Bombyx mori: one gene and its partners. The protein of the gene in region 1 interacts with the protein of each later gene in a pairwise test. Links are inferred from orthologs where the notes say so. Each region holds a gene or a part of one and is shown on either strand. Other genes may lie near its edges.

Region 1 (4,168 bases):
CATCTAATCCCACTGATCTCAAAAAATAAAACACTTAAGCTTGATTGACAAAAATGCTACCCTGCTGATGCAATTAATCTACCTTAGCTCTTTACAAAGATTACTGTCAAGGCTTTTTATATGTATCAGAGATGTCTATAGACGCTGAATTGTTAACTAGGCGCAACCTTCGGTGACTTTATCGCTTCGGTAGAGCCCGGCTGGTGTACGTCCGAGCTGAATGTAAGAGATTCTTAATTCGATCGATCGAGGAGACTTCTCAATGAGTTATCGCACGAAACGCTAGCCCAGAACTATTTAGAACTCGTTTTATACTTTAATCGCCAAATCTTTATATTGTTACGCCGGTAAGAGTAACGCCATCTATCGCCGAATAGCGGAACGAATATCGAAGGATCTAGTAACACCTAGAACGCTCGCGGAGTACAACGCCATCTATTGTCAGATATCGGAAAAACACAATACTCGAAATGTGTGGAATATTCTCGATAATTCTAGGGATATGATATCGGCTATAAAAGCGTTGTAGAGATGGCACGCAGTCAGTTAGTAATTGGAACTACTCGAAGCGAAACTGCGAACGGATCACCTGAAGCGAAGAGGAAAAAGCGAACTGAGAATTTTAAAGTGTTTGTGTAGTGTTTTATGTGTTGAATACAGTTTTAATTTACGCGCGTAACAATACCTATGTATAATTCTACTGTACATATTGACATATTATGTCACTGAACTCCTCCTAAGCGGCTGGTCCGATTTGAATGAATTGTTTTTGTATGCGTTTGGGTAGCGCCGTGGATGGTTAAGATTCACAAATTAGCCCGACAGATGGCGCTGCAGTCGGTATCTATAATATTTATCTATACTGCAACTAAACGGCTGGATCGACTTGAGAGTGTATTTTTCGTATGAATTCACAGGACAACGTCTGTCGGGTCCGCTACTAAAGTATAGTTATCAGAGTAAATTGTTTCCTGCTCAATACGTACTCTGAACCCACACAATACGTTTCCCGGAGAAGACCACAACTCTAAATGTCACCATCGACGCCTTTTACGGTGTCGGTATTGCTGATACAAGTGATCCTGACAGTTTTTTTTTTAGACTTTAAAACATTGTACTGAACTGAGACCTTAGAACTCATGTCTCAAGATGGGTGGCGCATTTACGTTGTAGATGCCTCTGGGCTCCGGTAATCACTTAACACCAGATCGCCCGTCAGCTCGTCCACCCATCTAACCAATAAATAAATAAACATTACGTTACAAAACTATGCTAATATTTTTATTTACACGTGCTAAGTTGGGAACTTGACCTCTAAACCCATACTTATACTTAACGCGTTGTTAAGTATAGGAGCCCATGATCATAGCTAAGCGAACGGCCCTACCCATCATCGAGCACACGCGCAATCCGTCCTTCGATGAAAGATAACATTTCGCAACGTTCTGTTATCAATCGATACAACGGAGCGCTATCGACAACAACAACTGATATTGACTTATAATGAATTCATTCCACGCATTTTACTTATTGTCTTGATAAGCTGAGTGTGAGCTCGATCCTGAAAACGAGACAGGTGGCAGTTTTTTTTTCCTACCTAAGCTGAGAGCCTCGAAAGGCTATTTCAGCGTAACCTTAACTAGTAGGTAAGCTCACGGGGCTCAAGCCTGACGACGTTGCTAACACGAACCCTAGCAAGAGCCGTGCTTCGCAGAATCTACCACCGGATCGGAAACGCGACCCACTGATAAGATCCGGCGAGAAACTCAGTGGGCTGTGTCTGAGGGTTAAATGCCAGTACTGGTATATCTAGATATCACATAACATTAACATAACCGAAATAGAAAATTACTATAGTATTTTCATCAGTTTTAGCGAGTTGTTGGCATAAATAAAAACTAGTCTTACGGAAAAAGACGATATTTATTTTCGTTTTTAATACGCAATACGTACTACGTTTTCGGCTGCAATATCTGCATCCAATATGAGAATAGGCTAATCATCATTCATCATCCTGCCCTTCTCTCAGTTACCTGTGGTCGGCGCAACATGTTTTCTCCTTCCATACTCTTCTATCATATACCATTTCTTCGCTCACTCCCCTCTTACCCATATCGTCTTTCAGGCAATCCATCCATTTCTTCTTAGGTCTACCTCTTCCTCTATATCCTTCCACATTCATAGTTAACACTCTCTTACTAACCTCATTTTTATTTTGTCTCATCACATGTCCATACCATCCCATAGGAATAGGAGAATAGGCTAATAGAGCTAGTTAACCTCTATATATAAAAATGAATTGCTGTTCGTTAGTCTCGCTAATACTCGAGAACGGCTGAACTGATGTGGCTGATTTTGGTCTTGAATTATTTGTGGAAGTCCAGAGAAGGTTTAAAAGGTAGATAAATATGAAAATGATCGGAATTAAATAAAAATAACAATTTGGTTTTTCCTTTGATGTGTCCCCCGTCGGACGGATTGCTTTTAAACAAAAGTTTTAAGTTTATTTTATACAAAAGTTTAGGTATTTTATTTATCGATTGAGGCACTACGAAGTCTGCCGGGTCAGTAAATAAATAAATTAAATTTATTCAATTTATTAAATTTATAAACTTTATTAAATTGCTTTGATAACTTAATTAAATATATTACATTACGGTTTATAACAATAGTTAATTATATTTACCTGCAGCTGACCCATTTCGAAGAGTTCATTACAGAAGTAGCAGGGACTTTCGTTAGGATTCTTCTTATTTCCCGACGCGCCGACTCCATTTGCGATAATCCTATTTAAACTCATTTTCGCATAGTTCTCCTGAATAATGTATTCAAACACTCATCATAAAACAACTGTGTACGGGTTTTTTAATAAAAAAAAATCGTAATTTTTTTAGTAGAATTATCCTTCACCAGGCTTTTCACTAAATGCACTTAACATCGGGTGAACTTGAGAGCTTGGATTCAATAAATAAAGGATACGACGCAATGGTTTCACTAATTTAGATGAGAATTTAATTGACAGTATACTCTTTGTTGCAGTATCTGAACGAACTCACGGTCTGCAGTGTTTTAAGTGGGCACCGATCATTGATTTTTTAATACCATAAAGGCGTGTATATTCTCAAGAGATATTCTCAATATATTCTCAATTCCTCCATATTTCGATTAACTATCACACTTAAAATAAGACGCGCGTTATCCGTAACCGAAGATTTAACGTTGTCCTCAATAAGACCATCAATAGCGAAACAATAACGAATTTATTAAACTATTTAAAGATATTTTCACAGAAACATGTCAACACCGTTATATCCTTTGTTACAAAATGATTCACGGTTGTTATCTATACCGTAAGCTGATACTGGGCGTTTTCGTGATAACAGATACGTAAATACTCCGTATCAATTGTGAATCTAGTATTTTCGCTTCAAATGGGTCAAGGTGAACCTAATTTTTTGCGGGATTAGCCAGTGAAGACATAATTTAGAATATCTTGCGCCGAGTGCTCTGAGGAATTGTTCGAGATGATACCGGCATCTCGTTTTCACCATCGCGCCGCCCGACACCGGAGTAGAGTTCATCCATACTACGTGGAGCCACTGCGGTCATCCATAGTGCGTTTCCAGAGGTCTTTTTTGCCACGTACCATCCGGCTATGGAATGAGCTCCCCTCCACGGTGTTTCCCGAGCGCTATGACATATCCTTCTTCAAACGAGGCTTGTGGAGAGTATTAAGCGGTAGGCAGCGGCTTGGCTCTGCCCCTGGCGTTGCTGAAGTCCATGAGCGACGGTAACCACTCACCATCAGGTGGGCCGTATGCTCGTCTGCCTACAAGGGAAATAAAAAAAAATAAAAAAATGGGATTTTGCTTGACAGACTCTCGTTTCCAAAGTGTGTGACGAAACGATTTATACGAGCACTTGTGACCACTTAACATCAGTAGAACGGCGTGCTCGTCTTTCAATCTAACCCGATTACTAAAACAGAGTGATGGGCATTTTAGCTCATCTGAATCTCTATGTCAGTTGCAATAATAATATTCCAACAATATATTTCGACTATTTAAAATTTAAAGGTCATCTGATATATTTGCATACATTAGCGATTTGAACACAGCTAATATTAAATATCGGTTATGCAACTCGAACATTTCTTTGACAGCTTGCT
Region 2 (4,267 bases), on another chromosome or scaffold:
GATATTGTCCCTGATGAACATAGGCTACTTTTTTAAAAATTTTTTTTTTTTTTGGTTTTATGTGTGTTTTAATCTTTCCGAAGCGAAGCGAGGGCGGGTCGCTAGTTTTAAAAATAAATAAAAAGGTCGTTATTTTAACATTATACTGTACCGTGAATAGGAAAAAAATTTGAATCGCAATTACACAACAATAATTTAAAAGAAAATCATGCAATCAAGAATGTCGAAAAACTATAAGTATAGGGACAATTAGTCTTCGCGGTAGGCAGCGGCTTGGCTCTGCCCCTGGCATTGCTGAAGTCCATGGGCGACGGTAACCACTCACCATCAGGTAGGCCGTATGCTCGTCTGCCTACAAAGGCAATAAAAAAAAAAGTTTCCGAACAAAATTGTCCACTCAATTGAAGATCCTCATTTAGCTATTACATACACAGGGTGTCCCAGAAAGAATGGATAATCCTGAAACACCTCATAGTAGAGCTATTGGGGACTCAAAATAAAAAATAAAAAAATATTTCTTAGGTAGTACCCAAATTAAAAATAAAGAAAAAATACCCAATTTCATGATTAAAATTTAAGTTCGGATTAGCTTTTATAAAAAATTACACTAGCTACTCATACAATTTCGTGCATATTCCTTAGTATAGTCCATGTAGAATATGATAACACCAAAAAGCCTATGGATTTCATTTATTTGTAACTGTTGTATATTCCAGAAACGCCCAGCAGTATGGAAAATATCAACTTTTTTTTAAAATACGTAATTTGGAGAGGTTGGTTGGGTACCTGAGATTCGTTTTTTTATTTTTTGTGTCCCGAATAGCTCCATCCACCAGGATTATCCATTCTTTCTGGGATACCCTGTATACATATGTATGCACGAACGAACCCTACAGACGTTGTCCTGTACACGTCTCAAATCCGAAAGTTTTTATAAAAATAATAATTGATAAAACATTTTCCAGTGGAGCGAAATGTGAATCTCAACTATTCTCGACTTGAACACACCAACTTTTTTTTAATCAAAATCGGTCCAGCCCTTTAACTCACAGAAGAATTATATTTATTAAGATAAGCCTTTTTGGTTGCCCCGTCGTTAACTAAAATTAAGCGTCCTAAAATGTTGCTACATATCTTGAAATTTGTTTTGAGTTTTATTTAATCAGATTAGACCAATCGCGATACAATAACGTATTTGAGTCATTTCGGATTCAGAGCTTGCGATGAATAATAGAGTCAAAAATGCTTAAGAGTGCAAATGAACCAATTTAATATACTTTCAAATAAAATGGAGGAAATAATATGTATGTACAGCAACAAATAACTAAAATGTAAAGTAATTTCAATGCCGGCCTTCTATTGGATAAATTATTCCAATTATAATGTCAGTTCACTAGGTTACAATCAACAGCAGTTCAATATTTAACACGAGTAAATAACTGAAGGATGTTTGTTAGCGTCCGCGGGCGGAAGATGTTAAAAATACAATTTACGATTTTTGTTTTTATAAGTTTGTAGTTGTACACTAAATATAGCGCGGGTGCGGTCTTTCTATCTTTCAATGAAATTATTGTTGTGTTAAAATTTTGTATAGTACTTTAGCGGTTAAAATAATGAAATCTCTCGAATAGATGTAGATTTTTTTTACTTGCCGATATTCAAATAATACATTACGATTATGATTATTACCCACTGTAGCCAGGCATTGATCTTTGGTGCGGAATAATGGTATGTAGGACACCGCCGCCACTGGCCCGTTGGGAGCTCCGGTATGCAGTACAAGAAATCTATTTTTTATCGCGCCAACTAATTATCTGTTAGAAAATTTCGCTTCGTGCCTTAAACGGCGGCATAATGTGCAACGTGCACTTTCATTTCACAGCTTAGAGCATTTCGGCTCTCATCCGCGTTCGTGTATTTGAGTCATCGCGTGTCAAAACATAGACATTTTCACGTGAAACCAGCAAGCGCGGCGTGAATTAGAGACGTTGCAGCATCCGAAAATACAGTAACTATATTTAGGTGTTTCGGATATATAATTTTCAGTGCGTCGCATTTACGGTGATTAAGATAAATTAGCTGATGGGTAATACTCACCAGAATCTTGCGCTCGCATTTTACGTTACAGCGGTACGCGGATGCGTGTTTTATTTCACTGAAATTTATATTCGTTGGCACCGCTCGTCGCTCGCGCAGATTCCGGTCGTGTGGCGCCCGCCCGGGCGGTTTGCCGACTGACGAAGCGACGCGCGCTCACATTAACCGTCTCCGAGTTAAAACTCTCATTATCACAGTGTCCTTCTTTAAACTATAAACCTTAGTTTAAGCCATCAATCGTGTAGTTCATTTAAAACTGTATTTCCTACGACAACATTAACACGTGTAGATCATTTTAAGATTGCAAAGTATCTCAGTGTCGAGACTGTGCTGTGGTTGGATAACGAGTGCAACACACAGAGCGTAGTTGGAAAACGACGCTAACGCAGTCGCTGAACTACTCAAGCATTGAATCAATGTTTGTTCGCTCTACATAGTGCCGCTTTGGTAACCATTGTCCGAAGAGTAGCAGACTAGCACTGATGTTATAAGTAGTAGTTTCTTTTTTGTAAAACTGGTAAAGCTAAAGTACTTTCACGTTCACATTTATTTGCCTTTAAAATTCGAGTGCAGTGTATATTTTTGGCGTTTGAGCTGTGCTGAAATATTATTGCTTTAAACAAGACTGCGCGCTCGAAATTTTCTACGTGTTACAGATAAAACTAAACCAGAATTGCAATAACATAAGACAGTGAAAGAATAAATAGCATTCATCAATGTTTTAACCGTGCCGAAGTTGCATTGCCCACTCAATAGAATAGCAATACCTACATGACGTAATTCGCATTGGCAACACTAGTTTGAACAGCCTCAAATTCCTGACAAGTGTTAAGGACGTGTTAATCCAACATCCACCCACATCGTAGACGAAGGCAGTCACGTTAGTGAAAGGAAACCTATAATTTTATACAATATTTGTTCGCGAAGGTTAATTCAATAAAGATCTCTTGTTGGTCATAATATCCTGCATGTTTCTGTTGCCAGATAAGTAGTTCGAAGGATCTTCCATCAATAGTTTTGGATATTACTAAAGATCACGTTCGAACGAATCGCAATTACACAATACTTACTGCATTGTCTCAGCCTTTTACTCTTTGTCAGGCATTATCCCTCCGAGATTAGCCATTTAGGTTAAGTTACAAGCGTCACAATTTTTATAGCAGTTCAATTTTATTACTAAAGCCTGATACGACCACGCAAAGGTGGAGCCTTGGCTCCTTGTATACTCCTAGGGATTCGGACTCATTTCGTAGGCATAACAAGTGACAAGTACAATTATATGTACAATACACTATGTATACACGATCCCGTCCGGGCGTAACTGGAACTAGGCTAACAGCGAATAGAAAAAAGAAAAAGAAAAAAAACAATACAATAAATGTACATTAATTAGGCACTCTTAGAGGGGGGTTTAATGATGAATCGAGCAGGTGGATATTGTAATTCTTCAACTGCGAGATCCTTTTGTTTGGTTTAACGAGTTCCGCACACTTTTTGACATTTGATGACGGATCTGATAACGGGGTCATGTTTTTCGACTTTTCAAACGCAATTTTCTTTATTATTTACACACATGATTGTGGTTACAGCTACCTATGTTCTTCATTCTTGCCTATTTATTGTACGATGCGACGACACGCGTTAGCCGCCATGTCTTCTGGGTTGGAAGATGGGATGATCCTTATATATGGACTTCGACTGCATATTTCAAGGTGAGAGGTTCCGTGATCTACTCCGGTAACCAATTAAAAGCAGGTGAGCAGTAATTCCGGAATTCTTGTATGCTTCACGGAATACCTTAGTGGACTGTCTCAACATCAATTCCGTGTTCTAGCCTTGTCCATAATTACGCTAATAATTAAATAAAAAAACATGGATAATTAACTACGGAATGAGATTTAAAAAGAAAACAAAGTAGAAAATAATAGTTTATTGCGGTCACGAAACTACTACACAAGTTTTTCGTATAAAATACAATATAATCTATTCAAATGAGGAATGTTACTAAACTAAAAAAAAAGAACTAAAAATGGCCTACTTATAAAAGAAAAAATATAAATAATTAACAAAAATTGGTTACATTTAATAAACGTTCTTTATTAAACATTGATCCTCACGGGTTTATAATTTTTATGGTAGTTTTTAAGATTCCATTTATAATTTTTGTGGT
Region 3 (3,943 bases), on another chromosome or scaffold:
AACACCAGGATGCAGGTACTTCTGATCCAGAATAATATTGTGAGCGATAGGTAAAGTGAGATGCATATTGCACACTTTAACATCAGATTACTACAATTCCCAATTCAATGTTGCAGGAAAAATATGTGCATTACCCTCTGCATTGCTCTTTCAGTGACTTTTAAGCTTTTGATAAGGCTCATTGTCAACAACAACTCCTCACTATGATGCTTCCCAAACACTCTTTTACAGAGCTACCCGAACATTATTTCACAAAGCTTCCGAACACTATTTCACTAAGCTTCTTGAATGCTGCCCATCCCAGTTAGATTAGCTGATTTGCCCCAGGTAAACATACTCATCAACAACTAGGAGAGTATAGGTTTTTACTTGAGTGGGCACTACACCGGCATTCAATATTAAATTCGTCTTGTATGTGCTTGACACATTAGCATTTTCTTAAAAACATTCTAATACAATACACATGTATCACTAATTAACTCAGCAAAATTAAAGAGACTACATCCCAGCCGGGGTCTTGACTGAATTGTAGCTTTATCATAGTCTACATTGGGTAATGTTATGGACTTTTTTGATGAGGACCATTGCTTTTTTGAATATTAAAATTAACTTACCCATTTAACAATTGTAAATTCTGCTTCATTGTTTCATTTTCCTCTTTTAACTTGACTGTCTCTTTGTTTTGAATTTTGAGGTACTCCATTTGTTCTCTCATAGCAGTCATTGCAGAATCTCTGCTTACCAACTTCTTTTCATATGATTTTAATAGAGCTCTAGAATATATTATGTTTCATTGAAAATTAATTTATTTAATTTTTAAAACATCATCATCAGTTGCAATATGTGTGTGTGATAACTCATTTTATACTTCATATTATTAAGGTAAGAAGGTTGCAACACTATTTAGGTATCTGAAATGTAAACAAGCTAGCTCACAGTGCTTTTGATCTTAGGTGATAGTCATAAGCAACAAAACTATACCAGACAGCTGCTGTCCTCCTTTTTACAAAAGTTCAATTTTCTGGATTGTTTAAATTATCAAATTAATTTATCAGTAATTTAAACTTCTTATTGGAAGTGAAAAAAACAAGAGTGAACGCCAAGAAGAGCCACAACCTTCAGAAGTATAGCAGGCAAAAACCTAACGGGCTTCTCTTTTTACATATTACATTATTGTAAATTTTTCAAGTTACTAAAATAGAAATAATTTTTTTCAATAATTAATACCTTTTTAAAAATACTCTAAAATCATTACAATATTTTTTAGACCACTAGTAACACAAGCCTATGCTTATTCCTGCTATTCATGTTTTGTAAATCAGTGACTGAGGAATTTAGATTAATATCTTAGCTTGGGGTATAATGGTTCTTGTAACAACTTAACATCACACAATCATTGAACTACGATGTTGATTGTATGGGGAAAAGCTATCAGTTGTCAGAGTTCAAAACACAGAGATATCTTACTCATTCTTTTTTAGCTCCCCTATTAAATCAGATATTTTGTCCTCTTTATCTCTGCACACAGATTTTTGTTGCCTGAGCTGTAATTGTGTGTCATCCAATCTAGACTGTAAAGTAGCTGAGTCTTCGCCGCTTGTCACATCATTTGATATTGTAGGATACATTCGGAACATGCATTTCTCTGTGACTTTGTTGCGGCATTGCGGGCAGGATTTTGACCTGGTAAAAAAGGTAAACGGCTCAAACAACATTTTATAGCTAATATGATGGTTTGGTTTTAATGTACCTAGATTAATCACTTACACAGAAAAGTTACCAGATACTATTGCTTGTAATCAACAAAAACAGTATAAGCTAATAATACAATATTAGCCGATTACAATTCTCTTCAAATAGAGCCAATCATCAAAAGCAATATTATTTTAACAATACATATTAAAAAAGTGAATTGTTTGAAATTCCCTCACATTTTGCATAGTATTACGTTTCATGTCCGTGCATGAAGACATGAATGGTAATTCTCAGAAAAAGTGGAAGCGGGCTGGCCACATATGCCGTTGCACTGAGAACCAATGGGGCACAATAATACTGGAGTGGAGACCTCGTACTAGACGTCGTAACGTGGGCAGACAGCCAACGAGGTGGACCGATGACCTGGTCAGGGTGGTTGCTAGGGACTGGATGCGAAAGGCCAGAGACCGAAAAGAATAAGGTGCATTCGAAGAGATCTACACTCAGCATTGTGTGGACACGGGTTGAAGAGATCATTCACGTTATTAAATCATTCCAGCTAAAACTATTTATTACCTTTCAATCCACTGTATAAGGCAGTGATGATGAAATATGTGACCGCATTTTGTCACATATATACTTTCAGATTGATTTATTAGGTCGCTGCATATAGTACAGAGGATATGCATTTTCTGCAATCAATTTCTTACATGAAATTTCGTTTGGCTTGATTTACAGACGGTTTCTTTTTCTATAAATGGAGATTACGTATTTAAAAACAAACAGAAAGCATACTAGGTATTCTTCGTATTTTTTCTAATAATTCCCTGCAATTCTCAAAACGGAATTTAGTTTTACCTTACCCGCAAATTCTAGGCAAAATATGTTGAATTGAATACAATAAATTTTATGTATGTACTATGAAACCTTATATCAGTTTATTTTTGCATAATCATCTCAGAATTAGGTATGTGGTATATATTGATTATCAATTTATGTCATTTTTATTTCATTAACTGAAAGTGTCTACAACGAAATCAAATCTCCAAAACATTACAATTCTATCATTCAGATTCAGACATCCAATGAAGTGTAGGTATTATTTATGATCCAATGATTTTTTAGTTGCTTTACCAAATTGAATAGGCAAAGGTAACTAAGATCATACAAATATGAGTAAGCCGAACCCAAGTCTTTTGGGTGAAAAGTAAATTAAATCACCTTTCAGCTTAAAAGGATCATATACAATATGTTTAATATTTAACTGAAGAAGCTCTAGATGATAAGTGATTACCATTTCTCTTGAACACCAGCACCACCAACACTACCAACCTAGAACACTAGCACTACCGACAGGGCAGCAGGGTGGCCTACCGCTAACAACCCTCCTTAAAACTTCTGAATCGGAACGTCATGACTTAACAAAACTTAAGAAATATACTGAGGAAGGAAAAATTCAGGAAATATTGAAGGGAATTAATTTCAAAGCTAAAAACGTACAGTGATGATGTTGATTAAAAAATGAGCATAGTAGTTCTAGATGAATCGTTAGATGATGCGGTGGTAAAACAAGATGACGGAATCATCTCAAAAAATCGTTCGAACATTAAGATGTACTACATATTGTCTATGGAGGGTAGAGGTAAGGAGAACCGTCTCATATGGGAGAAACATGCAAAAGTGTCCCACTTTCAGCACTAAATAACAGTTCAAAAATCCTCCAGAATGGCGCTACGACAGGCGTAGGGCAGCGGCTTGGCTCTGTCCCTGGCATTGCTGAAGTCCATGGGCGACGGTAACCACTCACCATCAGGTGGGCCGTATACCCGTCTGCCTATAAAGCCAATAAAAAAAAAAATGTAAGTTTGATTAATATTGTCCATCGCTGGTAATATTAAATTACAAAATATAGAATAGGATTCTCGGTGTATTCGCGTCCGTAAAATCCAGCGACCAGTGATAATTTAACAAAATTTAAGTTTTGTTAAAATTTCGTTCGTCGCTTCATAAATAATCGGTACAATTTTTTTTTCTCGTTTAACTTTTTTCACAACCATGTCGACGCTTGAAAGGCAAACGTGACTAAGCGAGAATAACTGCTTTATACATAAATGATAGGCAATAACCATATTCGATGCGCAAAAAATAGTATACATTTCTAGGTCTATTAAAATTATTTCAATCCTACAGCTAGATTCGTTAAAATAGGTTTTTTTTTCAAGTTTTACAACTTGAAATTAGTCTACTG

Evidence for each region.
Region 2: the proteins of TRAF3 (region 1) and CBP80/20-dependent translation initiation factor interact in a two-hybrid assay, tested with the Drosophila melanogaster proteins (2 studies listed by BioGRID). The link is inferred for Bombyx mori from reciprocal best matches to the Drosophila melanogaster genes Traf-like and CG13124.
Region 3: the proteins of TRAF3 (region 1) and E3 ubiquitin-protein ligase TRAIP interact in a two-hybrid assay, tested with the Drosophila melanogaster proteins (2 studies listed by BioGRID). The link is inferred for Bombyx mori from reciprocal best matches to the Drosophila melanogaster genes Traf-like and nopo.

The regions. Positions count from the first base shown.
Region 1 is NC_085120.1:2,140,803-2,144,970, forward strand, and holds the start of TRAF3, read right to left. Parts: upstream 2,801-4,168; coding exon 2,687-2,800; intron 1-2,686.
Region 2 is NC_085114.1:13,969,760-13,974,026, reverse strand, and holds the start of CBP80/20-dependent translation initiation factor, read right to left. Parts: upstream 2,801-4,267; 5' UTR 2,098-2,800; intron 1-2,097.
Region 3 is NC_085113.1:1,838,563-1,842,505, reverse strand, and holds the start of E3 ubiquitin-protein ligase TRAIP, read right to left. Parts: upstream 2,801-3,943; 5' UTR 2,554-2,800; intron 2,447-2,553; 5' UTR 2,385-2,446; coding exon 2,272-2,384; intron 1,684-2,271; coding exon 1,468-1,683; intron 774-1,467; coding exon 615-773; intron 1-614.